Linked DNA regions of Arabidopsis thaliana. The protein of the gene in region 2 interacts with the protein of the main gene of each other region in a pairwise test. Each region holds a gene or a part of one and is shown on either strand. Other genes may lie near its edges.

What was found.
Region 1: the proteins of SAP10 (region 2) and FRS11 interact in binary tests that used the Arabidopsis thaliana proteins (3 or more experiments, as listed by UniProt).

Annotation. Positions count from the first base shown.
Region 1 is NC_003070.9:3,356,127-3,374,454, forward strand, and holds FRS11 (FAR1-related sequence 11), read right to left. Parts: upstream 3,728-18,328; 5' UTR 3,646-3,727; exon of another isoform or gene 3,176-3,645; 5' UTR 3,146-3,175; coding exon 2,168-3,145; intron 1,969-2,167; coding exon 1,525-1,968; intron 1,330-1,524; coding exon 709-1,329; 3' UTR 501-708; downstream 1-500. Other genes in the region: SK18 (E3 ubiquitin ligase SCF complex subunit SKP1/ASK1 family protein), read left to right, coding at 1-25; AT1G10250 (paired amphipathic helix Sin3-like protein), read right to left, coding at 4,011-4,106, 4,199-4,336; GRP23 (glutamine-rich protein 23), read left to right, coding at 7,409-10,150; AT1G10280 (Core-2/I-branching beta-1,6-N-acetylglucosaminyltransferase family protein), read right to left, coding at 10,669-11,310, 12,017-12,613; ADL6 (dynamin-like protein 6), read left to right, coding at 14,648-14,788, 15,072-15,122, 15,219-15,339, 15,469-15,561, 15,906-15,967, 16,138-16,255, 16,402-16,738, 16,844-16,991 and 5 more. UniProt on the Arabidopsis thaliana protein: Putative transcription activator involved in regulating light control of development.
Region 2 is NC_003075.7:12,974,965-12,988,607, reverse strand, and holds SAP10 (stress-associated protein 10), read left to right. Parts: upstream 1-11,969; 5' UTR 11,970-12,279; coding exon 12,280-12,672; 3' UTR 12,673-12,760; downstream 12,761-13,643. Other genes in the region: AT4G25410 (basic helix-loop-helix (bHLH) DNA-binding superfamily protein), read right to left, coding at 1,925-2,005, 2,090-2,449, 2,612-2,836; AT4G25400 (basic helix-loop-helix (bHLH) DNA-binding superfamily protein), read right to left, coding at 6,628-7,020, 7,212-7,382; AT4G25390 (Protein kinase superfamily protein), read right to left, coding at 9,162-11,117. UniProt on the Arabidopsis thaliana protein: May be involved in environmental stress response.

The DNA.
Region 1 (18,328 bases), on a different chromosome or scaffold from region 2:
GAATGCTTGGACTTTTAATGAGTAATCCAACTTTAGGGTTTGCAGAATTTCGTTTCGAATTGCACAATTTAGGGTTTCTCTTCTCCCCCCTCTTAGATTTCGTGAATGGGTTCATCTTTTCGTTATCGACTTGGTCTCAAGTAATATTCTTTGTAGATTGACCAATGTTGTTCTTGCTCTATTAGCGTTCTAATTCGATTCTCGATCTTGTTCAAAAGCCTAAAAAAAATAATCAGTGTGTTCTTCTATTGTTCTTCAATTGAAAACGAAGATACTAGTAGAACCGGTCGTAAATCAATTCTATTATCTGGCCGGTTATCTATTTTAGTTCTCTCCAGAAAATTTTCAAAATTCTAATTAGTGGCAAATGAATGATCGACGCGTGTATGACAGCGCTCATCGAGAGGACCCACTCTGTGCGACCATCTTTGTTGTCGTTGACGTATTGGTAAGGATTTGGGCTTTGTGAGAATCACGGGCTCATTTGAATGCATAATCTTATTAATGGGAATTTTGGACATCATGGTACTATTTCGTCGAACACGACGAATTTAAGGTTGACTTATCTTTCTTTTTTTTGTCAACGAATATAAGATTGATATTTTTAACAATGCATAAGTTAAGATAAGAGTTACAATCTTGTAAGATTAGGTTAATAAAGTAATTATGTTATCTAAAAATAGTTAGACACGCATAGCATTTGTGGTATCAAAAATTCCTCTGCACAGAAGAAGAAATGTCTCTGATAGCAAGTGAGGAGACAGGCTGCTCTCTGATACGGGATAAGAGGATGGAGGTTTGCTCAGTTGCAATATCTAGCCTCTCCTTCGATTTAGCCGATTCTGAGACCAGAGTCGAAACCAGATTCTGCAGAAGCTGAACTCTCTCTCCATGATCCTCAGCGTTACTTCTGAACGTCTTGCTAAACGACGTGCTGATCCTGCGCCACCTAAGTGGAAGATACCTATCAGGGACCTGAAAACAGTTTCCTGTGGAGAGAACACGGAGTGCGTGCCTGCAGAGAAACCCAGAGAACTCAAACAGTTGGCAACTGCAGCTTATGATGCCTTCTTGAGGAACCCAATACACTTTTCTTCCTCCATCGAGTTTTGTGTGGTGCCTCACGAGATACCCCTCATCCATCTGGAACGATGCGTAGTGAGCAGCAAGCACAAGCTGTTCTTGGAGCTTGGAGAATGCAAAAGGAGTGAGCACCGAGGCTGCGTGAGATTCCATGGGGGCGCCAGTTTTTAGGCTGATGTTTTGGAGATTCTGCTGCATTGTTTGCTGTTCTGTAGCTTGGTCTTTAAAATCCACAACAACAGCCACCTGCATATTCACCCATAACTCAAATAAGCAAAAATAGCAAACTCAACACACGTACAGTACCATTTCATGAGATTAAAATGCATAAACCCTATAAAATAAATGCTTGAACAATTACTGCATAGAAGGCCTAAGAGCTTGAAATAACTCATTTCACTAGCAATGAATAAACACTGTCAGAAGGAGAAGAGAACATACTTGTTCTACAAAGTGAGCTAGCCGGGTTTGTGCGCTCAAGAACCTCTGAATAAAGGCGTTAATGGCTTTGGATCGGCCAGTCAAAGTCATTCCAGCTAGAAAATGGCTTCTCAGGTATGGTAAAGACCACAAGGAACGTGAGGCATACAAGTTGTTGATGTGTCTGTTTGTGTGCAGTCCAAAAGAGTTCACCATGTCTCTCCAACCCAACTCAAACTCCTCAACGGATTCCAGATGGTAGAGGCGATAAAATTCAGCTTTCCAGTCGTTGTACCGCTCCCCAAGACCGGCATTAAACCAGGATGGAAACTTTCCAACAACCATCCATATGCAGAGTGCATGCTTAGTGGCTGGCATCTCTCCAGCTATGGCTTCTTTGAGACACATATTATGGTCTGTTAATATCGTTTGAGGTGCCTTCCCATTCATGAACCCTGTGAATGCCTTCCATAAGAGACAAATTAAAGAAAATGTCAGAGTACAAACAAAATTGATTTGCTTTTTGGATATAGGAGCTTCTACAAATAACTTCTACAACAAATACAAATTGATTTGCTTATTCGCCCTACCCACAGACAATTGCCAAGAATTTTAAACAGAAATAAGTGGACAAGGAACTTAATCAGCTTAGTGTGCCACAAACCTGTAGTGCCCATGACCACGATCTCAAATTTTCATCCCGTAGAAGCACACAACCGAAGAAGCAAGGGACACCATAGTTATTAACTCCAACCCATATTCCAAGTGGCATCTCAACAGCACTTAAGCGATGTGTTGTATCGAAAACAACAGCATCTCCAAAGAGTTCATATGACTGAATGGAAGAAGCATACGACCAGGCAATATTTTCTAACTTATCATTTGCATCCAAAGTAAACTCGAACTTAAAGTTAGGGTCTTTCTCCTTTATGCTTTGGCACATCCTCAGGAAATCAATGTTCTCATCCTCAGGATCGAGTTTCTTGAATGACTGAAGCAAATTCCTGACATCCTTTTCGGTGAATGGTAAAAATCCTGGCTCGACACACTTCTCAAGCTCCAAGAGCCTCATCATCTGCTGAACTGAAATTCCTGTCTTGGAAAACATCAAAATCCGACTTTTATCTGCATCTGATATGGACCTGTACGCAGGAAGAAAACGAACTTGGTTTGGTTCTAAGAGCTCATGATTGTGGTGATTAGCAAAACCAGTAACACGCCATTCCGTTGAACCTAACTCAGTAAGTTTACTAATCCTTAAGTATGCTTGACATCCACATCGAGAAGACCTTCTGTTTCTCTGTGGTTTTCCTTCGCTTAGAGTTTTGATAGGTGTGTTACCAGCACGGTGACAAACAAAGTAGCGCCTAGTAAGTCCTTTGCCAACTCCGTCTTTTCCTTCTGTCCTGTGACGGCGTATGGAGAACCCGCAACGCTTTGCAAATGTACTATAGAACTCGTAAGCAGTATCATGTGTAAGGAAAATTTGTCCGAGATAGGGAATGGCATTGTGAACTGCTTCTAAAGAGAGATTGTTATCGTCTGGAGATTCCTCAGTACTACTAGCATCATCTAAAGACAAGGATCGCTGATCTGAAGGATCATCATAGATGAGCAACATCTGTCCAGGATCATCCGACATTTAGCTCCTAAGGTATATTCAGCACTTTGCCTGACAAGCACATAACAACAGCACTTATGAGACTCTGTAACATTACTATCTACAATAACCAGATAATCTCCAATGAAGTGCTACATAATCTGTAACAAGCTTTTAAACTCATGAGTACGAAGCTAGAAAGATTCAGAATTCAAAAATTTCGTATAAAGATTGAATTTTCTAATGTAATTAGGAGCTTTCGAAGCTAATTCAATTCGAATTTTCCGAGCTAAGCACATTTTGGATGCCGATAATGGCAATTACAAGATAGGGTTTTCATAGTTTCTGAAGAAATTTGAAAGTCGCTGTTTTCGAAAAGTTTGAAATCATCACAAGAACATAAGCTTTCAATAAAACTCGCATGATTCGAATTTTCAAATATGTTCATATTCTGTTAAAAAATGACTCCTTGATACACAAATGCGTGAAGAGATTAGAAACAGAGAAGTTGCAAGAGATAGAGACAGAGAAAGAGAGAGTACACTGATTTAAGCTGGCGAAGAGAGTCTTGCGAAGGAGAAGCCCTAATTTGCGCAGGCAAGTGACAATAATCCTTTCCTTTCTCCTACGCATCTTGTTATCTTACGCCTCTTCCCTACTCGTATTTAGAACAACATTACACGTACTACCAAACAGCCCCCATTTATCAATACGACGTCGTTCGGTAATTTTCATTTTTATTATTTTTGAATTGCTCGCTTCTATCTGACCAATTGGCTCTAAAGTGGATGAGCTGGCATTCTCGGGCTCCAAAACGCTCCAGCGGTTAACCAATGTAACGATTGGAGTGTTGCTCTTTGGTATATCTTTGCCTCATGGAGGATGGCACATGCATTCTCATGATACACTAGATCAAATCATCTTCCCAAAGTTTTCTGTAGTTCTCATACGCATGTAGTTGCAGAAGCTTGGTGTCTGTTTCATCAGATGCAACTGCATGGAGCTGAAGCATTTCCAAAAACCATCCCAGTGATCAGATGAAAGAGAGAGAATGGAAGTAGAGAGTCAAGAAGACAAGACACTAGTTTTGCTTACATGCTTAACAAACTTCTGAACTAGCTTGTCCAATGTGAAAAGAACATATGACTGTGCTCCAAAAATAGCTCGGCACTCATCTTCAAACTTTGTATTGTCGTCAATAGAACCGTCAAGTAAATTATAGAGTGCATCCATGAACCTAGACGTGTTATGCTTTGAATATCAGTAAGGAATCGTTTTTCAAGTAAAGCTATTAACTTGGAAGATAAATCTGTTAGAGTAAAATTCTTTTAGAGGTAATGGAGAAAGTGTTTAAGTGTTTTGAGAGAGTTTTTTAGGAAATAGAACTTTTATTACTTTGCTTTAAACTTGAATACAACTTCACAACCTTGCTTTGGATGATTTATACAAGGTAGCCCTCTCACCATTTCCTTCCTTGAAAGCAACTCCAATCCTCCAAAATTTAGATGTCCGAATCGAAGATGCCATAGCCAAGACTCCTCTTTGTAACACATCTTAAGACATTGTGCAATGTCATTTCGAATGTTGAGGACAAACATTCTATTTTTCGACATTGGCACCTTGGTAATGAGATTGCTTTCTTGGTCTCTTATTGAAAGGTTATTATCTTTTAATCTAATATCATAACCTTTCTCTAAGAGTTGTCCAAGGCTCAAGATGTTTGTCTTCATGCTCGGAATATAGTAACCGTTGGAAATAAATTGATGATCTCCATTCTTCAATCGAATAAGAATGTTTCCTTTACCTTTTACCTCCATCTTCGATTCATCTCCTAAAGCCACATTTCCTCTCACCGATTCATCAAGCTCCGCGAACATACTTTTTCTCCCGCACATGTGATTACTTGCACCACTATCGAGGTACCACTTATGATTCTCTTCTTGTTCATCTTTCTTGTAGCTAGCCATTAATAACATGTCTTCTTCTTGAATTTTTTCTTCAACGTAGTTGGCCTTCTCCTCAAATGTTTTGTTGCTAGGAGCTTTACATTCAGAAGCATAATGTCCAAACTTCCCACAATTGTAGCAAAATCACCTGGGATAAGAATCAGGTGTGATTGTCAATAGACTACGAATGGTTAGTGCTCCAGATCTGCCAAATCTCACAATGAGCAAAGGAATGCCTCTGCGGCTACAACTGATTGTTTGTGTCTGCTTATATGCTCCAACGATTTGTTTAACTTATATGCATACCATCTCAGTTTCCTGCACATATCCAGCTAATCCCATCTGCTCTTATATCTCATCAATCAACAAGAAAGCTGAGTGAGACTTGTCAGCTGCAGCAAACATATGGTCTCGTTTATTTGTCCGTCTCGAACTTGTCCCAGGACATATTCATACATGCTAGGAAATCGGCTCCAAAACCATCAGTCGCAGCAGCACTCGGGGAACTCTGTGAATCCGCCGCTGTATCTGAGATTTCAAATCCAAAACCGGAGATAACCATATCTGAATAGAACCAAATTGACCGTAAAAACACAACGAACGACTCCAATAACAGTATTCCGATTCAGTAACCCAATTACTGACATCCTCTCGCCATCGCCTAAAAGTAAAAGTGAACATTTTTTTTTTGTGTATTAATAGTTTTAATTTCATCAAAGCAAAAATTGTTTTTGGAAAAAAAGGCCAAAACGCTTCCCTATGCCTAGCCAACAAATTATGGGCCGGGCCAGATGAGGCCCGTTTAATATGTTCACGAGTATAAATTTAGAGCATGGTTATAAGTGATACTCATAAAGTATTATTAAACATTTTTTAGTATTATTTATTATTTAAATTTTTTCAATGATTTTTAATGATCTTTTATGGTTATAGATGATACTCATAAAGTATGGGTATATGTGATTTTTTAGAATTTTTTTTTTCTCTGTTTTTTCCTGACGAATCAGTTGCCGTCACGTCACTCGATACTGGGTATTAGAAGTATCATTCCACTCTGATCAGGTCCAACTGTATACTCTGATCCATTAAACAATTATTGATGGGCTTCTGATACTCTGATTATATCAGCTATGTACATGGTCTTACCCCTTTAATATCATTATATATATCGTTACATATCGTATGATCAATCCCTTCTTGTTTCTTTTCCTGATAAACTTTTCTCCACAAAAAAATGGTTTCAAGCGATTAAGATTCTCTTGTCGTTACCCAGATCACCACGACGAAAACAGTTCACAAAGGATCTTCCAAGTTGTTCTAGTTCATTTCGCTGAAGTCTTTTTGTCGAGAAGCAATCACTACCGTGGAAGAGAAGAAGAAGAAGGTCACCCCAAACACCGATCTCATCAAGATGAAAAACGAAGATAACGCCAAGGATATTGCAAAGATTTTCCCTCTTTATATAACATAGGGCTTTGAGGCTGTCAAAATATGGGGCATGGAGATGTTTAAGAAGAAGATGAACAAGAAGTAAATCATGATTTGTTCCATGTAAAGTTCAACAAATTCCTGTTTTCACGTTATATGAGCATCTTTTCATATAAAATTTCACATATATCTTTAATACTGTTAATGATCTTTCTTCAAAAACTAGTATGCATGCAGTTCGAACATTTTCGTATAAAGTTTCAGTTTCAAGAAAGTTTGATTTTTTTCTTTATTATGGACTCGTTTTGAATATGAGTCAATACCGAGTTTGAATGTGATGCCGAGTTTTTCATAAAGATACTGGAACTTTTCCAAAACTGTTATTTACTTCCCGGACCCATATCTGCAATTTTCACAAAAAGCCTATTATGGTCCTAAATTTTAAACCCCACGATCACACCTTTATTGTATCATCAGAACCCACGCTAGTTTTGCACTCACACAAACCACGACATGCATGGCAAAATTTCTCGACTTCTTCAAGTGATATTTCCTCACTAGGATGGAAACTTTCCAACAACCATCCATATGCAGAGTGCATGCTTAGTGGTTGGCATCTCACCAGCTATGGATTATTTGAGACACGTATTATGGTCTGTTAATATCGTTTGGGCCTTTGAAGGAGAAGCCCTAAATAATCCAACCTTTCTTTACTTGTCTTTGGAATAACATTACACGTATTACCAAACAGCCCTCATTTAAACACTACGACGTCGTCCTTTAATTTTCATTTCGACATTACTTTTTAATAAAAGTCCCATTTCTTCACATCCAAGGGTTTAAGCCACGAGCTCGCTCTCTCTACTCCCACCATCGTCATTGGTTTCGTCTTCCTCTAACCTCTAAAACCCTAAATCATTTTCCCTCCACCATGTCTCTCAGTCACCTCCTCCGCCGTCTCTGTACAACCACTACCACTACCCGTAGCCCTCTTTCCATCTCGTTCCTCCACCAACGCATCCACAACATCTCACTTTCCCCGGCAAATGAAGATCCGGAGACGACCACTGGTAATAATCAGGATTCAGAGAAATACCCAAACCTTAATCCCATTCCAAATGATCCTTCCCAATTCCAGATTCCTCAGAATCACACCCCTCCAATTCCCTATCCACCCATCCCGCATCGTACCATGGCCTTCTCTTCAGCCGAAGAAGCCGCTGCTGAGCGCCGCCGCCGTAAACGTCGTCTCCGAATTGAACCTCCTCTCCACGCTCTCCGTCGCGATCCTTCAGCTCCTCCTCCAAAACGTGATCCCAACGCGCCACGGCTTCCGGATTCAACTTCCGCTCTCGTCGGCCAAAGGCTTAACCTTCACAACAGAGTCCAATCACTGATCAGAGCATCAGATCTCGACGCTGCATCAAAGCTCGCTCGCCAGTCTGTGTTTTCCAATACTCGACCTACTGTCTTCACCTGTAACGCCATCATCGCCGCTATGTACCGAGCCAAGCGTTACAGTGAATCGATTTCTCTATTTCAGTATTTCTTTAAGCAGTCTAACATCGTCCCCAATGTAGTCTCATACAATCAGATCATCAACGCTCATTGTGATGAAGGGAATGTCGACGAAGCCCTTGAAGTGTACAGACACATATTGGCTAATGCTCCTTTTGCTCCATCCTCAGTTACTTATAGACATTTGACCAAAGGTTTGGTTCAAGCTGGAAGGATCGGAGATGCTGCGAGTTTATTAAGGGAGATGTTGAGCAAAGGTCAAGCTGCGGATTCCACGGTGTACAACAATCTGATTAGGGGATATTTGGACCTTGGTGATTTCGATAAGGCTGTTGAGTTCTTTGATGAATTGAAGTCTAAGTGTACTGTTTATGATGGGATTGTGAATGCTACCTTTATGGAGTACTGGTTTGAGAAAGGGAACGATAAGGAAGCTATGGAGTCTTACAGGTCTTTGTTAGATAAGAAATTCAGAATGCATCCACCGACTGGTAATGTACTTTTGGAAGTGTTTCTTAAGTTTGGTAAGAAGGATGAAGCTTGGGCTTTGTTTAATGAGATGTTGGATAATCACGCTCCTCCGAATATCCTTTCGGTGAATTCGGATACGGTTGGTATAATGGTCAATGAATGTTTCAAGATGGGAGAGTTTAGTGAAGCTATTAATACATTCAAGAAGGTCGGAAGTAAGGTCACCTCCAAACCGTTTGTGATGGATTATTTAGGTTACTGTAACATAGTAACAAGATTCTGTGAACAAGGGATGTTAACAGAAGCTGAAAGGTTCTTTGCTGAAGGTGTATCTAGATCTTTGCCTGCTGATGCTCCAAGTCATAGAGCAATGATCGATGCTTATCTCAAGGCAGAGAGAATTGACGATGCTGTCAAGATGTTGGACAGGATGGTTGATGTGAATCTACGGGTGGTTGCTGATTTCGGTGCAAGAGTCTTTGGTGAGCTGATTAAGAATGGTAAGCTCACGGAATCTGCAGAAGTTTTGACTAAGATGGGAGAGAGGGAACCAAAACCAGATCCTTCCATTTATGATGTGGTGGTTAGAGGTCTTTGTGATGGTGATGCACTTGACCAAGCCAAGGACATTGTTGGTGAGATGATTAGACATAATGTTGGGGTTACTACTGTGCTGCGGGAATTCATCATTGAGGTTTTTGAGAAGGCAGGACGTCGTGAGGAGATTGAGAAAATTTTGAACTCTGTTGCCCGGCCGGTTAGAAACGCTGGGCAGTCTGGTAACACTCCACCTAGGGTACCCGCAGTGTTTGGAACCACACCTGCAGCTCCGCAGCAGCCTAGAGACAGGGCCCCATGGACGAGCCAAGGAGTGGTGCATTCCAATTCAGGTTGGGCCAATGGAACTGCAGGTCAAACAGCAGGAGGAGCTTACAAGGCTAATAATGGCCAGAATCCCTCTTGGTCCAACACGTCTGATAACCAGCAGCAACAATCGTGGTCGAATCAGACGGCAGGGCAACAGCCACCGTCATGGTCGAGACAGGCACCGGGATATCAACAGCAGCAATCTTGGTCTCAGCAATCGGGGTGGTCAAGTCCTTCAGGTCATCAGCAATCATGGACTAATCAGACAGCTGGCCAGCAGCAACCTTGGGCTAATCAGACGCCTGGTCAGCAGCAACAGTGGGCTAATCAAACGCCTGGTCAGCAGCAACAATTGGCTAATCAGACGCCTGGCCAGCAGCAACAGTGGGCTAATCAAACGCCTGGCCAGCAGCAACAATGGGCTAATCAGAATAATGGTCACCAGCAACCGTGGGCTAATCAGAACACTGGTCATCAGCAATCATGGGCTAATCAGACTCCTAGCCAGCAGCAACCATGGGCTAATCAGACAACCGGCCAGCAACAAGGGTGGGGAAATCAGACAACCGGCCAGCAACAGCAGTGGGCTAACCAGACAGCTGGCCAGCAGTCAGGGTGGACAGCGCAGCAACAGTGGTCTAATCAGACAGCTAGCCATCAGCAGTCACAGTGGTTAAATCCCGTGCCAGGAGAGGTGGCTAATCAGACACCGTGGTCAAACTCTGTGGACAGTCATCTTCCTCAACAACAGGAGCCAGGGCCTTCCCATGAGTGCCAAGAGACACAAGAAAAAAAGGTAGTGGAGTTGAGGAACTAGTTTGACAAACTCGCTATTTCTTCTGCACCACCATTCTCCTCATAGTTAATTTGGCTTTTGCTTTGTGGTTCCTATTTTTTGCAAACTCTAGTAGTTATTTCTTTAGGATCAACATCATAATCTACTACGTTCGTTGCCCTTGCTTCTTCACTTGTATGTATGGTTCTTTTGAAGCCAATGGCTTCTAAAGAGTAATGGAATTCAAAATCAGTAATTCGATCAAAACATTAAATTCCATTTCTTCCAAAAAGTGATCAAAATGAATAATATATTCGTAAATCTACAACTAGATTAGCTCTGCAGGTCGGCAGAAGCAAAACTCTTACATACAAAAGGCTTGACCATTACGATCATCTCTATAAAACCCCAAATAATGAAGAGATTATAACCAAAAGAATAAAACTATATAAGAAAGAAAAAGAGTCCTATGTTATGTATATTATATATCTCGTAGAAGAATCTCATCTCATCCCTATAAAAGAAGAAAGAAGAGGAGAAATGAATCAGTTTGTTTTTTCTCAAAACCCCAGGACAGTAGAGCTCAAATTCATAAGAGGAGCTAAGGCAGAAGGAGAGAACTTGCGAGCAAAAAGGAAGCATAACGAAGTTGGCTCTTCATTGTAAAGACAATCCGTCTCGTTTTTCCTTATAGATTGGAGAAACCCTTCTGTGATATTAGCTGCAGCATATGTAGCTGGATGGGGACCGCCTATGGACCAATCAACCCATGTCACGCTTCTATTTGCGTTCATTGAACCGTGAAACATGTTCAAGAAAGTAGGGATGTAATGCTCGTCTGGGTAACAAGCTGGTCTGCAGAATTGTTTGAACAATGAGTAGTATTTCGAGTCTGAGATGATGTAGATGGCGATTTTACGGTTTACTTCAAACCACTGAGACCCTTTGCGCCAGTGATGGAGTTTGATATCCGGGAGCATCTTGCGGCTATAACGGCCACGGCCATAACGTGTTGGCTCATCATAAGAGTCCACAAAACTGTAAGCAGAGTTTATTAGGTAAGTGTAGACAGTTGAGAAGTTGTAAACTGGGACACAGCTCTCTGAGAGAAGAACAAAACGCTCATTTGAGAAGTCCAGCAATGCATTGGCTAGAAGACGCTTCTCTGCGTCTGTCAATAGTGGGGATCCCCATTCAACTCTCTAAAAAATTCAAGTATAAAAAACCCATCAGAACCAGACAGAATTCTTTAGATTTTTTTATCAAGTAGATCTAGCATACAATGACACAGACCATCCATGATTCATCAGATGACCAAGTTGAAGAACCAAACAAAGCGTTATGCAATTACCAGGATCATTGTGACATACAGAGAAAATTAAAGGGATTACTACAATAAAAGGTGTAAAAATCAACAAGAGAAGCTTATATAATGTGTCTATGAATTAGTCTTTTATAGTTTCCTAGTTCACAGCTAAGCAGATCACAGCTAAGCAGATCACCTCTATAATAAAAGCTGTTCCCGATCATTAAACTAAAACCAGCTATGTTCCAAATAATCACATAATAGCAAAATTAGTAACAAAGCTTCATCTAATACACAACCTTGAAACAGATGTAGCTGACAGTGGAAGAAACAATTAAAAGGTTCAAATCCTATAAACAATCTCAAATAGTCACGCGCCAGTGTAACTTGGATTCCATCATGCCGATTAGATCTACATGTTGTTCCTCTAGAGAACTAGATCTCCATGATCCAGAATGACTATATTTCTTATCTACTTATCTATTACTCTGTTCTTGTATACAAGATTAAGTCACTGGTGAAACTAAGTATTTGTTTTGTTCTGATCCACTGAAGAACACAAGCAAGACACAAAAAGTTCACTGTCCTGCATCAAAACGTACCTGGCTGGGGATCTGGCGGTCGTAAAAGGGAGAATCACGAGAGACATTCATGTCGTATCCAGGAGGCGTATGAACATAAACGGACAAGTACTTTTCATTGCCTTTAAAAAACTTCTCCCAAAGCGGAAGCATAGGTAAAGGCCCTCTCGTCAGAAACATAAACGCCACTTTCGGAACCCTATCGTACGGATACTCTTCCTTCACCGGAACCATCGAAGCTCTCCAGAACAACTCATCATCAGTCATTCCATGACTCAGATTCTCTGGCCGAACAAACCCATCAATGCTCCAACAATCTCGAACCTTTGGTTTCTCCGCCTTGACTCCTCCGTCGTCGCTCTCGTTGTCGTCGTTACCTGTGCAGTCTCGGTGGATGATTGTGCAATTGGAGTAATCAGGAGTCGAAAAAGGAATCGATTGGAGGTTAGTGGTTGATGAGAACATCCTCGGCAAAGAATTGAAGTAGCGATCGATGTGAGAACTTGCGGCGAGACCGATGATGATTCCAGCCATGAAAATTAGCAAAAACGACAGCGTTTGCGCCAGCTTTAGTAACCCTATGTGTTTTTCTCCTTCCTCTTTCCCTCCTCTCGCCATTGTTCGAGAAACTCAAAACTTGTCTACCCAAACAACAACACAGTGATGATCTCTGTTCCCCAAAAATAAAGTTTCAGGGAAACATTCTTATGATTCAAAGAGAATCTGATTGTTTCAAGCACAAATCCATTGCATTCAATCTCCTCGAGAAATTTCCTAAATTTGTAACATATAATTAAATCCAAGGATCAAACGAAATCGAAAAAGGTAAGTGGATAAATGGAAATTGGATCTGTGGAAATCTTCGAGGAAAGTGAGAAACGATGACTGAAACAGATCAGAAACTGAATTTCATGCAGAGAGGAAGAAGAAGAAGAAGAAACATAAACAAATCTGGTCTTTTGTTTCTTCCAGTTGAAATCTATGTGTGTGTGTGGTTGATTTTGATCTTATATATATAAAAGAACAAAATTAATTGGAATGTTATGCTTAATTTAATTAGATTAATTGAGTTTAAAACTCCACGTCGAAAAGCATAACGAGTTCAAAGTCCGCAGATCTTGCCAGATGGGAATAATCTATTGGTTTTAAGTTATTGGGCCGGAGGGCCCACGTTTAATTGTGACGTGGTTTAGTGCTCGTCAACTCTTTGGTCCGACATTTCACTTTTTTTTTTATAGAAATAATTCTAGATATCCAGTAGTCAAACTTATTGATTATCTAATTTCTATATCCTTACTATTTTTAAAAAAATTACTTTTAACATTTCTAGAATTTTTCGATTTTTTCTGTACTTATTAACTATTAGTAAAATTTATTGATGCTTCTTTTGGTTATGTTATAGTATTGAGACAATGTATTGTATTCTAATTTTGATTTTTTTTTTCCTTTTTAATGATTTGTAGATTTTGTTTTTTCATTATTATATTTGAAAAAATATCTTCTTATATCTTAATCACCAGAAAATCTAAAACCGATGGCTATACTAATTTCCGGAATATATGAAATGTTTATTTTTCTATTAAGGATCCAAAGCAGCTAATTAAGATTAAAAACTTGGGAAGAACTAGTATCCCAAACAAACAATATGATATCCAGATGTCCAAAAGGAAAAAGAAATGGTATCAAAAGAACCAAGAAATGTGCCTAGAAATTTCATATAGTTAGCTTGGAAATTTCTGATTTTTATGTCCAATGTTTATTTATTTTTTCCTTATAATTATACTTGTCATACATCACAAAGAATTGTCAACATTGCCAAACTAGTCCTAAGATGTTGGAAGGTATGATGATAGACAACAGTTCTAAAGAAGGGAAGATGAGATTCAGGCAACAAAAAACACATATAGTTCAAAAAAATTAGGTTGGTAGGATCAATTATTCAAAAAACATACACCAAATAGATTTTAGTAGGGGTTGTTTGTCCAAAAAAAAACTATAATAGTTTACGAAAATAGTTACACCTTGTGAATAGATTTTTTGTTTGCCTTCCCTTGAGGTAAATTATGTCGCGAGAACTATATGAACAACAACGAGATCCACAACAACATTTGATTACATTTTTATTTGAACCTTCACATTGATTTAGTAATGTGGGATTCCAACATCATCTAATGTTATATGAATGGATCTAATAGATGATAAATTGTTAAATGAACTGATAATTTTTTTTTATTTTTTTATGTGTATTTCACATCACATTGTTTTTTTTTTTTTTTTTTTAAGTAAGAAAAAGAAGAAGCACTTGAGACCGATCAGAAAAAAATTAGAAAGATATGATTTTTGTAAGTCTTTTGAAATTTGAATCTTGTCCCGTGTAATTGTGAAATCTTACGTACGTCCTCTTTATGACCTCGTCTTCGCTCATTTCTGCCTTCCCTTACGAAATCCCCAACGAAAAATCTTAGCTTAACACCATCGCGACCGGATTCCAAATTCCGGCCCATCGTCTCACCGGGAAAGACCCCGCCTATTGCCGCCGATTTCGGTTCCGGTCTGCTCAGATCTAATCGAGTGGCTTCCTTCTTCCTCCAGATCTCTTCACTTTGAATCGGTTACTCGATCTCGATTCGCGGAGGGCTTTTGCTAGTCGCGATGGAGGCGATCGATGAGTTGTCTCAGCTCTCAGATTCGATGAAGCAGGCGGCGTCTCTCCTCGCCGACGAAGATCCCGACGAAACCTCTTCTTCCAAGCGCCCTGCCACTTTCCTCAACGTCGTTGCCTTGGGAAATGTGGTGAGTTCCTCGCTCTCACTCCACGCTCCTCGATTTTCCTCTCTTTAGGCTCGTGCTGGTTTTATTCTGTGTTCGAGTGTATGTTGGATTGCCATATCGTGGATCTTCTGGATCTAGATTAGGTTTTTATCGAATTTTGCTAGGACACACTCATCGTTTATAGCTAGTTTTGTTGGGATTCTCTTTATTAGTGGATATATGGTTACATGAGGAGCGACTCGTGCCGGAGAAGGCTGATGTATTTTGTTATTTGTTACTTATCTCTTTTTGCATACTGAACCAGGGAGCTGGAAAGTCTGCAGTTCTAAACAGTCTAATTGGGCATCCAGTGCTGGTAAGTTGTACATTGAGTCTATGGTTATTATTGGCTTACTCCTTTTCTTATACTAATACTGACCTCTGTTGTGTCTGCTACACTTACTATACACAGCCGACGGGTGAGAATGGTGCTACACGAGCTCCTATAATAATTGAATTGAGCAGGGAGAGTTCTTTGAGCAGCAAGGCAATTATCTTGCAAATCGACAATAAATCTCAACAAGTTTCTGCAAGTAAGTCTCTATCTATGAACATATGCAATTTAGCAATGCTATGTGAGGCTCTTTCTGCATTTATGATAAAAAAATTTCGATCAGTCTTCTCATAATATCTCCATTGTGTTCTACATGGGTATATTTTAGGTGCTTTGAGACATTCTCTGCAAGATAGACTTAGCAAAGGAGCCTCAGGGAAGAATCGTGATGAAATAAACTTAAAACTTCGTACCAGCACAGGTAAGCCCCTTTTTACTTGCACAATCATAAGTGGCAAGCCTATATCTACTCTTCAAATAGCACATCCTTAGCTAACCTAAGTTGGGTGTATGAATTTATCTTTGATACCCGTGAACTGGTCAGCTGTAATATCTTGCTATCCTTATATACTATCTAGTACACTAGTTTAGAGCTTCTAGCTTTACTTTGGTGGGTATCAGATTAAATATCTAACGGAGCTTTAACATAAACAGTACACACTCTTTTGAACATGAGTTATGACATATGACATATGACCGACAGTTTCGTAGTATTAAATTTTCTTTGACCATCATAACCTGTTACGTTTACCCTTTACATTGCAGCTCCACCATTGAAATTAGTTGATCTGCCTGGACTGGACCAGAGAATTGTGGACGAGTCAATGGTGAGGCTTGGAACTACTTAATGCCATTGTCATATCCTTAACTTGCCTGACAACCACGAAACAAAAGATTTTGACTATTTTTATCGGTTTCCTACTGAAGTGATAATATAGATTCATTATCATGTTTATCCTTTTGAAATTGTTGTTTGTTTCTTGGGTCTCTTTGCAAGATTGCTGAATACGCGCAACACAATGATGCCATACTGCTGGTTATAGTGCCTGCTAGCCAGGCATCTGAAATTTCATCATCCCGAGCCCTGAAGATTGCAAAGGAGTATGATCCAGAGAGTGAGTACATCTGTATTTCCGATCTGTCTTATCTTAATATTGTTTATTATTTGTATACCTGATAAGAACTGTTGATTTACCTACCTATTATCACTTCAGTTTGCTTAAAATACTCATTAGCTAACATCACTCCTCCCTACTTATAGGTACTAGGACAATAGGCATTATTGGAAAAATTGACCAGGCAGCAGAGAACTCGAAAGCCCTTGCAGCTGTTCAGGCTCTTCTTTCAAATCAAGGACCTCCAAAAACAACTGACATTCCATGGGTTGCTGTTATTGGCCAATCCGTTTCAATTGCGTCAGCACAGTCTGGAAGTGGTGAGAACTCCTTAGAAACTGCTTGGCGTGCTGAGAGTGAAAGTCTTAAGTCCATTTTGACTGGGGCTCCACAAAGCAAGCTTGGCAGAATTGCGTTGGTGGATACCCTTGCTAGCCAGATTCGTAGCAGAATGAAGCTCAGGCTTCCAAGTGTCCTGTCTGGGTATTGCTTCTCTCCATATATGTGCTTTCTTCATGATTTTTATTATGGTGTTGGCATATGACATTGGTTGCTTGAACGCATATGGCTTTCAAATTCTTTGTACAGGCTCCAGGGTAAGTCTCAAATAGTGCAGGATGAGCTAGCGAGGCTTGGTGAACAACTAGTTAACAGTGCTGAAGGTACAAGGGCTATAGCTTTGGAGCTTTGCCGTGAGTTTGAAGACAAGTTTCTTCTGCACTTGGCTGGTGGTGAAGTAAGTACATTCTTACAAAAGTTAACTAGATTTAGTCGAAAATTCAAGAATATAGTGAGAGAGAAGAACTCTTCAAATATTAGCAATCAGCCATTTCAGATTTGGTACTAGTGTAGTGGAAAGTCTCTTGCTAGCCTACGCTTGGTAAGAGCACATTATATTGTTGGGAATCTCATGAATCTGATAGTGGATGTTTATAATATGTGTATAAGCCAACTGAGTGTTTGATATAGAGTTTTTGTACTTGTCTGTGTTCAGTTTATGGGCTGAAGTCCCTTTTGGAGCTTGGCAAATGTTTTTCTCAAAACTTTTTGATTCTTGTTCAGGGAAGTGGTTGGAAAGTTGTTGCAAGTTTTGAAGGAAATTTCCCCAACCGTATCAAGCAGCTTCCATTGGATAGACATTTTGACCTGAACAATGTTAAAAGGGTGGGTGTCTTCTTCTGTCCTAAGTTTCTGCACGAGACAAGTTTTGAGACTTGATTTGTCAAAATATCTTTGATTTTCAGGTTGTTTTGGAGGCAGATGGTTATCAACCTTATCTTATATCTCCAGAGAAAGGGTTGAGATCGTTGATAAAGATTGTCCTTGAGTTGGCTAAAGACCCGGCACGCCTTTGTGTTGATGAGGTGTGCTTGTTTACATGTTTTTTTAGGTACATGCAGTAGGATTGAATTTTAGAAATTTACTGCATTGTGAACTGGCTATGGCTTGTCTCACTTTAATTCTTCGAACTGTTATTTAGAGTTCTGTCAAGTTTTCTGGTTTATAAGCCTTAGTAAGTTAATATCCCTTACCGTAGATGTAGCTATTTTTTGGTTCCTACTTTAAAACTCATGCATCCAGCTTCTGTCTTATTTACGTGTTGAGCTAACATGGTCTTAACTTTTGATTAGGTTCACCGAGTTCTTGTTGACATAGTTTCAGCTTCTGCAAATGCTACACCTGGACTTGGGAGATATCCTCCTTTCAAGCGAGAGGTAATAATGATTTTTTGGTGCTTTATTCAGTAATATTTTATCATTTCGGTAACAGTTATTCCTTTCTGACTAATCATCAACCAGGTTGTAGCTATAGCAAGTGCAGCACTTGATGGTTTCAAGAATGAAGCCAAGAAAATGGTGGTTGCACTAGTTGATATGGAACGCGCTTTTGTACCACCTCAACATTTTATCCGTCTTGTGCAAAGGAGGTATTTTGGCTTGTCTTTCTTTGCAATTTTTGTTTTTATTTTCAATGGTTCATGACTGAAAATTATTTCTCTTTCTGACGATGCACTGTATTGACTCCATCAGAATGGAAAGACAACGTCGCGAGGAAGAGCTGAAAGGGCGATCT
Region 2 (13,643 bases):
AATTCTCATTAATATATCGTCTGGGATTTTCTTTATCGGAACACTATCCGATTTGAAGATCATGAATTTGTTGGACGGCATCTCAAGTTTTGATTTAAAAAAACATTTTTTAACAACCACACATTTAAATTAAAAAATAAGACTCCTAGTTGATAATTAATTAAATTACCAATAATGATATAAGATATCAAACGAATATTAGTGAGATCTTAACCACTCATCATGCGTATCTCTTAAAACATTTGAACTACTGTCAACTTCGCTTAAGTTCGTGACATGTATTAATTAAAGTGACTATTTAGATCTAAAGTAATGAGATTTTATTAAATAATATGTGGTCGATCTGTTCATATGCTTATGGGTACGTATGAAAAGAAAAGAAACCAAGATTCTGGGGATATGTATAATACTGTGTCGTATCGTGAACTACAAAAGAAAGTGAGATTTTGCAAATTCAAGATTTAAAAATAGAAAGGTGGTTCTCTGCATTGAATCTTAGGCTTTTATCTATGGCAATTTTGTAATATGCTTCTTATTTCCGAAAAAAATATCGTAATTAAATATCATAATCTTGTATAAATAATTTGTCTGACTTCACATTTGCTATGTCATTTACTCATTTGATGATGTGAGGCCTTGTGCTTATGAATTAAATAGTTATTTAAAATTTCAAAATAGTGATGGCATTTGTATGTATGTTTATTTGTGTTAGGGTTATCAACTCATGCACGTACATTCAAACGATCTTTTATTGTGTGGTTACTGGTTAGTATTACCATCTGTTAGTTATTTGGAACTTCTATTTTACCACTTTCGAATCGCCCAAAGGATTGGTTGTATCGAGGTTAGTGCTACTACTTCATATATAGTCTCTCATCTTTGATATATATCGTAGAGATAACAGTTATGTTACTTCTCAATTTTCGCAGTTTTATGTGTGAACAATTCACATAAAATATCGAAATCTAATTCACCAATGTGGTACTGATAGCGTAGAGAATAGTAGGCTAGAAACAACCTAGCAGATTCTGACTATTATAGAGCCCAAAAGATGGTTCTCACCTACCCTTGCTTCATACTTATCTGGTTAGAACTAGGCGATATATATATATTATGCTATTGTATTGGCCTTTATTTTACTATGCCCTTCCGGATTTTCCTTCTAATACAGGTCTAAATGATTCATGGATATGTATTACAGAAAAACTTATTTTCCATACGAGAAAACCCAAGAAAACCTAACAATGGAGTGATACAAAATGTTATAATGAAAGGGAAACAAAAAAATGGCTTGCCCGTGAGAAAAAAAAAATCTCTACTGAAAACATCAGACCCTTGGTCTTTACGGCGGCGAATCATGGTGAAGTTATGATCTACCCCATGAAGTCACTTGAACTTGTTTAAACCAAAGCTACACCTCAATCCATGAATGAACTTTAACACCTATGCACCTTGCTCTCATAACGAAATTTCAAGAAGACTTTGATTTTTTCTGCATCAAGTATACGGTGAGATTAGTTCATTAGAACATCAACCATAGTTATAATGTTGTAAAACACATGAACAAAAATACACCATATCGAACATTGCTAATATTAGTCTTCCATTGATATATGAACTAGAACCATGTGAAATTCTAGTGTTTATAATTATATATGACTTTCACATTAGTTCTTAACTTCTAAGTATATATAAGTTCATGAACAAGAAAACAATAATTGGAGCAACAAACATATGATATCTACAAAAAATACTGTTTTATATCCACTAACATGCAAGGCTTCAATACCACATCTAAAAAGGACAATAATTTGGAAATGAGTTTCTATTTAGCTAAGCTCATATAACGAATGAAGAGCTCGGGTAAAAGAGATCATACGATGAGGAAGTTCTTTAGGACTACGAATGGTATGTTTCTGCATGATTAGTACCCCGTCGAAAGTATCAAATCCTCAACTAGCTTCTGCTGCAACCATAATAAGTCTATGCATCCGAAACTATTAACCTGTATTGAATATAGTTAAATGTAATGAAACCCTAGATTAACTTCCATTGACATGGCATGTTGACATGTTGTAACCAACCATACCTCTACTTGAATAGTGTGCATGAGCCTATCATTGACTCTTGTAGTGAAGGAGCTCATGACTTCAAGCCCTTTCTCCTGAATTGTCTCGAGCACTTTTGATAGTGGCAAAGCTTCGGGGCCTGAGGAGTTGCTGCTCACTACCACTTCTAAACCGCTCACGTGTGGTTGCACCATCACAGTCGCCGGCTCCGATTTGCCTACATCGGATCCAGTTTTTCCTGGATCCGGATTCGATTTATATCCTTGGCCGGTTTCTCTACTTAACTCGTCTCTTCTTGCACTAAGTTCTTTAATCCGTGCTTCCGTGTCCTTAATGAAATTTACCGCTCCATTTACATGATCCGACACAGCTCTTTTTCCCTATAAATAAAGATTAAATACAAAACTAAATTAAATACAAAAAACGACATATTCACAACCCTAGCAGCCAAATCTCACCAAATCTTGGTTTCTTCGAACAATTGATATAACGAAAAAGTAAATAAATTTGAGAGAAAAGAGTGAGTAATTAAGAATATGAACCTTGATGTATTTAAGAGGTAAGTGAGTACGAAGAGTAGCAAAGAGTGTAGCCATTTCTTGTCTTCTTTGGCGTTCGATGTCGCGGTGGAGAAGCTTCTTCTTCTTCTTATTGTCATCTGTTTCATGGGCCGTACCGGAGCCGCCGCTGCCGCCACTCTCGCCGGCTGAGCTAAACGGTCTCTGTCTCTGGTAACCTTTTGGATTAAGATTCTTATAAGGATCCATAGTTTGACACTTTGAGCTTTACCAGTGTCAGATCTCCAAAGGATTTTGTGGTTCTGTCTTGTGATAATTTAATTTCCTTTATTGTTTACTTGTTGAATGATGGTGCCTTAAAGAACCAGATGGTTCTCTATGTCTCCTTAGGTGAGAGGGAGGACCATTATTTAAATATTAAATAGATACACAGTAGGAGGACCAAATAATGCAGGTTACGGAATTACTCTTTTTTTTTTTTTAAATAAAATTGAAATAGTTATCAGTTTTTTTTTATTTCATTTATGGGATGAGCCTCGGGCTTGATTTGTAACAAACTAGTAGAATACAACTTATAGTCAATATATATACATAACAAAATAAAATCCTCTACAGTTTATTTAATTAAGAGAATTAAAACACATAATTATAAATTTTTGAAATTAATGTCAACTTAATAATTTATACCCTCCAAACAGCTTTTGTCATACCATCATCCAACACAAAATTTCCTTTATGTGAAATACCATTGCGAATCCATCTCTTTCCATGAAATACAGAATTAGTATCTAAAACGCAAACTGTTGGAAAAAAAAAAAAACCATAATGCACATTTTCTCTAAAACAAAATTATATTCTCATACAACTAGGAGGAACTGGAGAATATAACTATTTGACAAATGTCGACGTGAAAGTGCAACCATGTCTTAAGATTCGGATACATGAAAACAAAACCTCAAATCTCAACCGTTGATGATGTTGCGATGGTCGCATGTGGGCTCCGATCCTTTCTTTTTATTTGCACCTGCTCACACTGCAACTAGTCTTTTCACATGTTTATTAAACGTCCATATCCATTGCGTATCAGATATATAATGCTAAAGATATACTGTTCTTAAGAAGATACTATTTCAATATAATATGCTTTGAATATAAAAACCATGACATCCCTCCACAGTTTCCATTATTAAAAAATAATCCTTTTGGTAAAGGTTATCCTTTCAAGGCAAAGCAAATCCTTCTTCTCTGTCACGAATCCCTTGTTTTTTATATATATGTATATACGCATATTAAGAGCCACTATACTATAAAAGATAATCTCGTTGGATGTTTGACCAAAGTCTTTTCTTTAGGGATGTGTGTTGTATGCTGATATGCTCAATATACGCCATAAGCCATATTATGCCTGATATTAGCAACTTTTATAAACCAGATAAATTTGTAAAAAGAGAAAAATTTCATTCACTTATACTATACATTACGTTAAGAAAATGGATAGAGTTTTAAAGTTATAAGAGCTGGTATATAACAGTTTATATACAGTAATATTATTACATGCGTACAACCGCAATAATGTTTGCATATTATAGTCATGATAAAACAAGTTAACTATTTATTATGTAAATTATTTTTAAGACACGTTTCTGCTATAGTTTTATTACATGAGATGCATTTTTCCTATATCCCAAAAAGTACTATCTGATAGTTTTAATCTTATAAAATTAAAATTAGAAGCACGTTGTTATATTTACGTGTATGACCAAATGTCGAATCATGTCAACTCGATGATTGTCGGAAAATATGGATTATGCAAAGTTAAATTATTCCCTATCAGGCGATCGTACACACATGCCTTGTAGGAGTCACGACTAAACTAAAGACATCTCTTTAGACTTGTATATCTGACGGTTGCGAATAGAAGCCGCTATTTCTACAGTAACAACCAATTATTTCTGCAATAAAAAGTTTTAACCAATGATTTTTTTTATTTTTTTTATTTAAGTTCGTTCAAACGAATTAAAATATGTGTTTGGGGCGAAGTATCCTAATGATGTGGTAAATTATACAATTATATATTGCTCTTTTAAATAATTGTATTGTATTTCAATAGTTATTCGTAATAGATCGTTACAACAACATATTTACAATATATCTCCAGCTAAGTTCTCTATATTGACGCTATATTATTTATTAGGGTCATCAAAATTTATGATGAACTTTAGTTCTAAATAGATATGATTTCAAAATTTAAGAAAAGAAAAAAACAAATTGTGAGTTTTAAACAGAATCACCAAATATAAACGACTTTGGCCATGTGTTAAAAGATCACATTTTCTAGACCCTACTTGGCTAATTAATTCCGCCCAAAACCCCAAAGCTGGTCACTGTAGAAAACTAAACCAAAGTTTTCTCACTCTCTCTTTTTTTTTCAACAACCAAGTTTTCTCACTCATTTTAGTTGCTGAAATTGTTTACCAAAATTTAAGTCTAAGAGAAAAGTCAACAGTTCCAGAGTTCAAATATTTAAATCGATCATAGATATGTAGCGGTTTTCAACTAAGCGGCATATAATATACATTCCCTATGTTTTACTTTTTGCATCGACTTTATAGTCATTAGCTAATTTGTGATTACAGATCTGGAGTGCGTATCACACAACCCTAATTAACCATTTTCAAGATTCAAATTTGATAATTTTGTAACAGTGCGTACACAACAAAGTAAGTTTGTAACAGTTCTTTTTGTCAACCAAAAGTACTTTCTAACAGAAACATTACATATTATTTTTAAAAAATATCCGTCGCTGATAAATTCGCAAATTGTTACTTTTAGAAAAACGAATTTCACATGTTTAGATTTCTCTGAAAAATGGTTTTTCCTTTGCCTCATGTTTCTTGTCTTTTGCATATTGCAAATCAATTTCCGACTCAAATTTTCAGTATTATATAATCTCAAAATCTGTTAATCATTTTTTTTTCTTTTTAACCATTTTGTGTATACCCATCAATCGATGAGTTTTTAGAAAGTTAATATTATTTCATTTTTCTTTTCGTGTATTCGTCCGGAAACAATTTTAGTTTGAAGGCTTATACTATCTATCAGAATTTTTGTTCAAAATACTATTCTATCATCTATTTGATGCTACTCACACCAACAATAGTAAATTAATTATACCATTAATTCTATGTGTACGAATTAAATTCCACCATTCTCTTAATTATATCCTAACTCGACAGATTACGTACATCTTCAGATAAGAATGTTATATGACTTATATATAGGAGCAGAGACGTCTAGAAATAAGAAGGCCTCATGCGGTAATCCTCAAAATAATAGTCATTGTCCCTAATGAACAAAAGATAGAGTAAACTAATATATTTTCTTGAAAGATAATTTGTTTTCATAAGATATTTAATCAAATTTTCAAAATGAAGATTTTTTTCTGTGAATAAACAAGATAGTCAAAACATCAATGATAAAGAAAAAGTTTAGATGGACCATAGTTTATATAATATGTAAGAGATGGTTGTGATATTAAAGCTAGCTAGCATTAGTTTCTTACGCACAAATTCTTTAAAGTAGCTAGATAAATACACAGTAAAAGTACTAAGAACCATATATATACATCGTTTTGGTTTGAGAAGTTAAAAGGAATCTACTGAAAAAAAACGTTTGATTATTTGAATTACTTCATCAGGGTAAGTGTATCCTTAAGGTCTGCTAAGTCGATCAAAGCCAGATCGTTGACCTGCAACATAAGGCAAATCAACTTCACATATTAACTCAACATAAGGCAAATCAACTTCACATATTAACTCAAACATATATATTCATTACTCTGATACAATAAGCCATTCCAAAAAGCTATGAAGAAGATGTATGCTATATTCTATATTCCATTCCAAATTAGGACATAAACGCGTTTGTAAGCCGACAAGATCGAAAACATTAACAAAGTTAGAAATATATGTTATGATTAAGTATTTCTCTATATTCTTAGTAAAGTTAGTTAGAAATATATGTTATGATTAAGTATTTCTCTATATTCTTAGTAAAGTTAGTAATGCTTCGATTGCTGTAAAGTTAGTAAGCTCGAGATATTGTACCTCAGCCTGTAGAGTATGAATGAGTCTATCATTTACACTGGAACAGATGTAGCCAAGAACATAGAGACCGTGTTCACGAAGCACTTGCAGAACGCTTGAGAATGGCGTTTGGAGAATGCTCAACACTATCTCTATGCCGACCAAACACGGACGAATCACGACATGATTCGAAATCTCATTCCATTCTTGTTCATTACTACTCCTAAAGCTTCGTCCAGACAATAACACGAGGTCATCTCTCTTGGAATTTATGTCTTTGATATTCCTTTGCAAATAGTCTATGTAATTCACTGCCCCTTTCACCTGATCTGACGTTGAACGTTTTCCCTACAAAACCAAATCAAACGTAATTAAGGTGTAGAGGTCAACTTGAGATATTGTGATGATAGAGTGTTAGAGTTCTAGTGAATCTTTTTAACAAACTAAGCGACAAAGCATACTTGTGGACTTTTTCCTTAACAAAAAAAAAAGAAGAAGAAGAGGAAGAAATTAAAAGCAAGAGTAATTAGGGTTTTGACCTGGATGAACTCTAAAGGGAGAAGAGAGCGGAGAGACGCGTAGAGAGAAGCCATTTCTTGTCTCCTTCGTTTCTCAATTTCTTTATGTACTAACTTCTCCATGTTTTCTTCGTTATTACAAACTCTCGGCGTTTTACTACGCCTTCTTTTCTTCTCCTGAAAATTATTCATCTAGAAGTCGTTATACGTTAATTATTTTGAACAACGATTCTTCTTGTAATTATGATTATAATAATGATGATGATGATGAGACAGAAGGATCTGATCTTGTGCTCTGGGATTTGCTCTAGTCAGGGATTTGTTGTAAAGTTGAATAATATGGGAGTCGGAAAAAAAAAAGATATGGGAGTCGGAAAAAAGATAGTAAAAGGGTTTGGTTATAATATTAAAAACTAAGAGAAAAAAATACTAAGTTATTGGTAGACGTATCGGAAAAAGATGGAGAGAGAGGTTTGTTAGGGTAAGCAATGACGTCTTTCTGCTTCATCATTAATTTCTTCTCTTTTTAATAGGTTCCCTTCAACATTCCATATCTTAATATTTATCATTTTTAAAGTATTCTTTAGAGATCGTACAATTTATATGTTTATTTTCTTATTGTATACACATACTATATGATATATCAATTGTACGACGATCTACTATATATCCTAGATATCTCTGACATAGGTACCATATAATTATTTTTATATATACTATAGACTGCAAGGCCATATGCTGGATCGTATTCCTAAAAATCATTGAATAGCACTTTAAATTATGAGAAAATATGATTTATTTTATGTTATAAAATATATAGGAAATAATGTACTATAGTTTATAAGAATTAGTTACTGCTCTTTTTTTGTCAACTGGTATTGTATTAAGAGACGATTGTTTGATACAACACATACCCACCAAAGAGGTGAAAGAGCCAGACATATGAAAATGAAACAACATCCTCAACCTTTACTCAAGCCATACTACCATCAAAACTCAAATTTAATCAGAACACAAAGCCCTTTCCTCAGCAAATACACCATCGATCGAGCCAAGTAGGATGACTAACCGCCACATACGATTGTAACATGCACTCGTATAAGCAATGATATAAGTCATTGTTTCTAGTCGAAAGCAAATGATTTTTGTTGTTGTTATTATTTAAAATATTGAAAAACACTTAAAATGAAAAACAAACCAACATTCTATAACGCCTTGCATTTATTCATTAAAAACTGTTGCATTTTCAATTTGTTTTCTAAACATTACAACAACTTTTTGAAAAAATGCAGAATACTATGTTTTATGAAATGTTATAAGGGATTTCTTAATCCGAAAATAATTAAGTAGTAGTAAATATTTTAAACTGTTTATGTATGATTTTTTTTTTAATAATTGAGTTTCATCTGAATCTGATACATTTAAAAATAAAAAGCATGCATGTTCCAAATATCTAGTATTTTTAAAAAACTGGGCCAAATTATGGATAGACCATACTCTATATAAGGGCCAAATAATAATAAGAAGAAAAATTCAATAAATCTTGGTGATTTTAAGTAGAAACGAATAAGAAAAATCGAAGATGGCCCATGTCCATATATAAAGAACACAAACTGCTGACTCCTAACGTGACCCAATTTGGTATCTTCATTTCATTTAACTCGATTGGAAGTGGTTTGTTAACTGATTAGGCCCATAGGATTTGTGTGACCTTTAAATGACTTTTGGAGGTGGAAAAAGTTTTAGCCTTTTCTTTCTGCTAATAATCCAATCCCGAGCAACTCCGATTTGAAGAAGTGTTGTATGACATATTGACATCGAAGTATAAACGTGTAAAAAAAAAATCAATGTCAATAATGCGTGTGAAACTATAGAAAGAGAAATTGGAAAGTATAGTGAAATTGAATCAAAGTTCCTAAAACTAGCGGTGTAACACTTGAATAATAATAATCAAAATGATTCCTAAATTAGTCAACGGCGCTGCTTCCTCGTTGTCTTTAATGGTGGCGATGGTGAGAACTCACTAGGCAACTCTGGTAGATTCACTTCTCCTTTAAGCATTCCCAAGACCTCTTTCATTGACGGTCGTGAAATCGGTAATCTTTGCAGACACAACAAAGCCACCTTTATGCACAACACTGCTTGTTCTTGGTCTAAGTTTTGCAACTTTTGATCCACAAGATCAACAAGTTTTCCTCTTCTCGCCAACTTCCTCGCCCAAGACATGAGGTTTGCCCGTTGTATCTCACTCGCGGAGCCCGTCATCTCCAACGGGCGCCTCCCGGAAATCAGAACTAACAACAGAACACCGTAGCTATAGACATCACATTTCTCTGACACGTTGTTGTCCAAGTTACAGTACTCAGGAGCTGCATAGCACACAGTCCCTCTCATGCTCGGCGTGCTACTAATTCCGCAGCTCTTAGCTATCTCACCGCTCACCGAGTCATGGCTATTTCCCCTTGCTCTCAACCATCGTTCACCACTTAACCCATCTAACCACCAATCTATGCTGCTACCACTACCACTACCACGCCGCCATTGACTCACACTACTACTCCCATCATCACTACAAAACTCGGCTTCTAAAGTCATCTTCTTCTTCTTCTTCCTTTTCTTAGCGAGTTCTCTACGATACTCATCTTTCCACCACTCTCTAACCATCCTCCGCTTCTTCTTCTTCTTATTCTCATCCTCTTCCTCCAATGACAACCACCAATCTAGTCTCTTGCTAGTCTTCTTCTCAAGTTTCTTACTTGACGAAGAAGACAAAGCTGCCGCCTCAATCCAATCACTTCTGCTTGGTCTCTCCTTCTTTACCTCTGAACCAATCCATTGCATTACATACTCTTTCACTCTCCCTCTTTCAACATTGCTCTCCTGCTTCCACCACCAATCTTTGCTCTCACTCTCTTTCCCCTTCTTCATCACCACAACACTACCACCATCCTCATCCGTTTTCTCTCCCATTTCCGGAGAAACAGAGACAACCGTCGTCGCCTCAGGAGAAGCACTCACAGACCCAGGAACCTTAGCAACACTCTCCGGAGACTGATCAACCAACCCAAAGTTAAAATCTTCATAACCAGTCACAGTAGTTACCACACTCTCTACTTCTTCAACCATAGATCCATCACCATCACGCTCCGGAGCTACACTAATCTCCACTTGCTCTGCTTTCAACCTAGCCAAACCAAAATCAGCGATTTTGGCAGAGAAGAGACTATCTAATAGAACATTGCTAGGCTTAATATCACCATGAATCACAGGTGGTTCAAGACTATGAAGATGCTTAATCCCATCGGCAATGTTAACGGCAACCAAAAACCTCCGATTCCAATCCATAAGCTCAGGGCATCTCCGGTGAAGCAAGGCGTCTTGGAGATTACCATTGTCCATAAGCTTGTAAACAAGAAGCAAACGTCGTCGTTTTCGATCATGAGAGAAACCAATAACAGGGACAACGTGAGGCGAGTCAAGCTTGGCGGCGAAGAACAACTCGTTCTGAAACTCACCTTCTCCTTGAAGAGATCCTGAATCCATTACTTTAACAGCTACATTCTCGCCGCCGGAGATAGTTCCACGAAACACGACGCCAAATCCGCCCTGACCTAGTCTATTCGCCTGCGAGAAAGAACCGGTGGCGCGACGGAGAGACGAATATGAAAACTCACGTGGCGACGGTCTCCGAGGCGAAGAGGAAGCGTTTTCCGCCGGAGGTGATGAACGTTTCCGGCTGAATTTACAGAAACAGACGGAGAGAGTGATGAAAAGAGAGAAACCGGCGCCGGCTCCAGCCACCACGAACGGTGGAAAGATTCGCGTTGTCTTATTCTGATGTCCTGACGGCGCTGCTGGGACTAAAGAGGAAACGATCGGAGCCGGAGCAAGAACCGGAACCGGTGCCGAGATTGATCGTGACGGCATAGAGATTTAGTAAACCGAAGCTGAACCATACACAGAGGAGATTTTCAAAGACAAATTGTTGCTTTTTGTGTTTGTTTCAGTTTTTAGACTAAAATCGGAAAAGAGAGAAAACGTTTTGAGCTGTTGCGGAAATGGAAAATAAATTTCTATACATTTAATTGATCATTGATTAAATCATTACATCATGGTTTATAACGTGTTAAGGTTGCGAATTTTGATTGGTTAAACCGAATGAATACTAATCCAAAGTCCAAACACACAGACAAATCCAAAACCTGTTATTCTTTCTATATCAAACAAGAACCATAGAAAGAATAACTGACCAATATTTTATTTATTTATCGTTTTTTGAATGAGAAAACTCAAATTCAAATTCAGACGAAGCCAAAACATATACCCGGATAATGAAACCGGAACCGGGTTAGACCCACGTGAAGATTTAAATGCTAGACTGTTGTTGCGTGGCTTTTTGATAGACAATAAATAATTTAATTAGTAACGCGTTTAGGTGTAATTTGATAATGAAACTAAACAAGGTATTCCAAATTCACGTGCGGTGGTGGGGAGGCCATCAAAGATCACCATGTGGAATTGTCTAATTTGGTATTTTACTTGAAACTAATTAATTACTCCTTAAGATAGTGAAAACGGCACGCAACTCTTTTCTGTATTTAGAAAACGAACCGACGTTTTAGAAACTACCAGGAAGCTGCTGTTGTCTAAATTATCATCAAGTTGGATTAGTTATTTATTTGGTTTGTCTTTTTTTTCTTACATTAGTCAACGTTTTTCTTTATTGGATTTATGACTGTTCGAAGAGGATTAAACACGTCTTCTCAGTTTCCTTATTATGAAATATCTCTCAGCGTTTCTATTGTAACTTTTCCTTTCTTAGTTATATGAGGAAAGGAAAATCAATAACTTGCAATAAGAATCGTTAGCAAACACTTATCGAACGTAGATGACTATTACAAAAGAGGAAACACTTACCGAATTGTATTAAAAAAGGGAAACTTAATTGCACTACACAATTCCAGAAGAACTAAGAACAATAGACATCCTCTATATATTTAGATTTTAGAGTCATTGATAGAGCTCACACAAAATATTGAATTATATTGACTCTCATATAACAACTATCGCAAGAAGTAGAAGAAAGAAGATGGTGAACGAAACAGAAGCATTACCATGCGAGGGAGGCTGTGGACTCTACGGCACCCGAGTGAACAACAATCTATGCTCTCTCTGCTACAAAAAGAGTGTTCTTCAACACTCGCCCGCTTTAAGATTCGAACCCGAGACCGAGCAATCACAGTGTTGCCCTCCTACGAATAGTCCCGCCGTTGAAGAAGAACCGGTCAAAAAAAGGAGATGTGGGATATGTAAGAGGAAGGTAGGAATGTTGGGATTCAAGTGTAGATGTGGACACATGTTTTGCGGGTCACATCGTTATCCGGAGGAGCATTCTTGTCCCTTTGATTACAAACAATCTGGACGGCTCGCCTTGGCCACACAGTTGCCTTTGATCAGAGCTGACAAGTTGCAGAGGTTTTAGTGATATGTGTCGTAGATGTTTAGATTCCTTGGCTAAGATTTTGATGTTGTTAAATTCTTTGTACCAGTAATAATATAAGTTCTTTTAGCTAAACAAAACACCCTGAACTGAAGAGAGATTCAAAACAAGCAAGCCATCTTTCCATTTCAATGGTCAATTAAATTAACCAAAAATTCACAAGCTAGAAACAAAACTGAACTTTGTCAAAACTTTATTGTCACGACTCACTGATCAAACCCTAAACAAAACGTATCGGCTCTGTATCACACTGCAAAAACTTGTGAACATGAAATCCATAATATCACAACAAATCATTAAAACGCTTGTTTATACATATGCTTGGATTAACTACAAATTGGATTCGTGATTTCAAATGCGTTTTATGTATATTATAATCTTATGAGCTTAGACGAATAAGGTCATCGGTTTGTTTCCTGTCTACATAATAAGGTTATAGTTAGAAGAATGATGATCACTTGACCACTTAACTACATTTAGTGTGTAGTTTCTGTATCCAGCCTAATAATTCCGTTTAGTGTGTAGTTTTCAGTATTGAGCCTAAAATGTATGTTTAAGACTCAGCACAAACACTTGCTGACGTGTGGTTACTTACTAGCATTATTGCTAATACCATGTCAAAACTTTTCAGAGATCAACAGATAGATCCCCTATCGCATCAGCTTTCAGAGCGATAGGGGCTCTTATCCCGAATGCTTGTATTCGTGTCTAGAGAAGTTTGAGTTGATAGACTACGGTGGAAGAGAAGAAGAGAAGAATTAGTGGAATATATCCCAAGCATATCCAGGTGTTTAAAGACGGTGACAATCTATTTCAAAATCCACCTTACAACCTGAAATCAAGGAGATGATGATGGAGAAGCTTGAATCTATGGATAGGTTTTCTGAAGCATGTCAGCTTTTGTTTGAAACCGAGTATGGAAACAACTAGACGTTGCAGTTGACTGACGAATG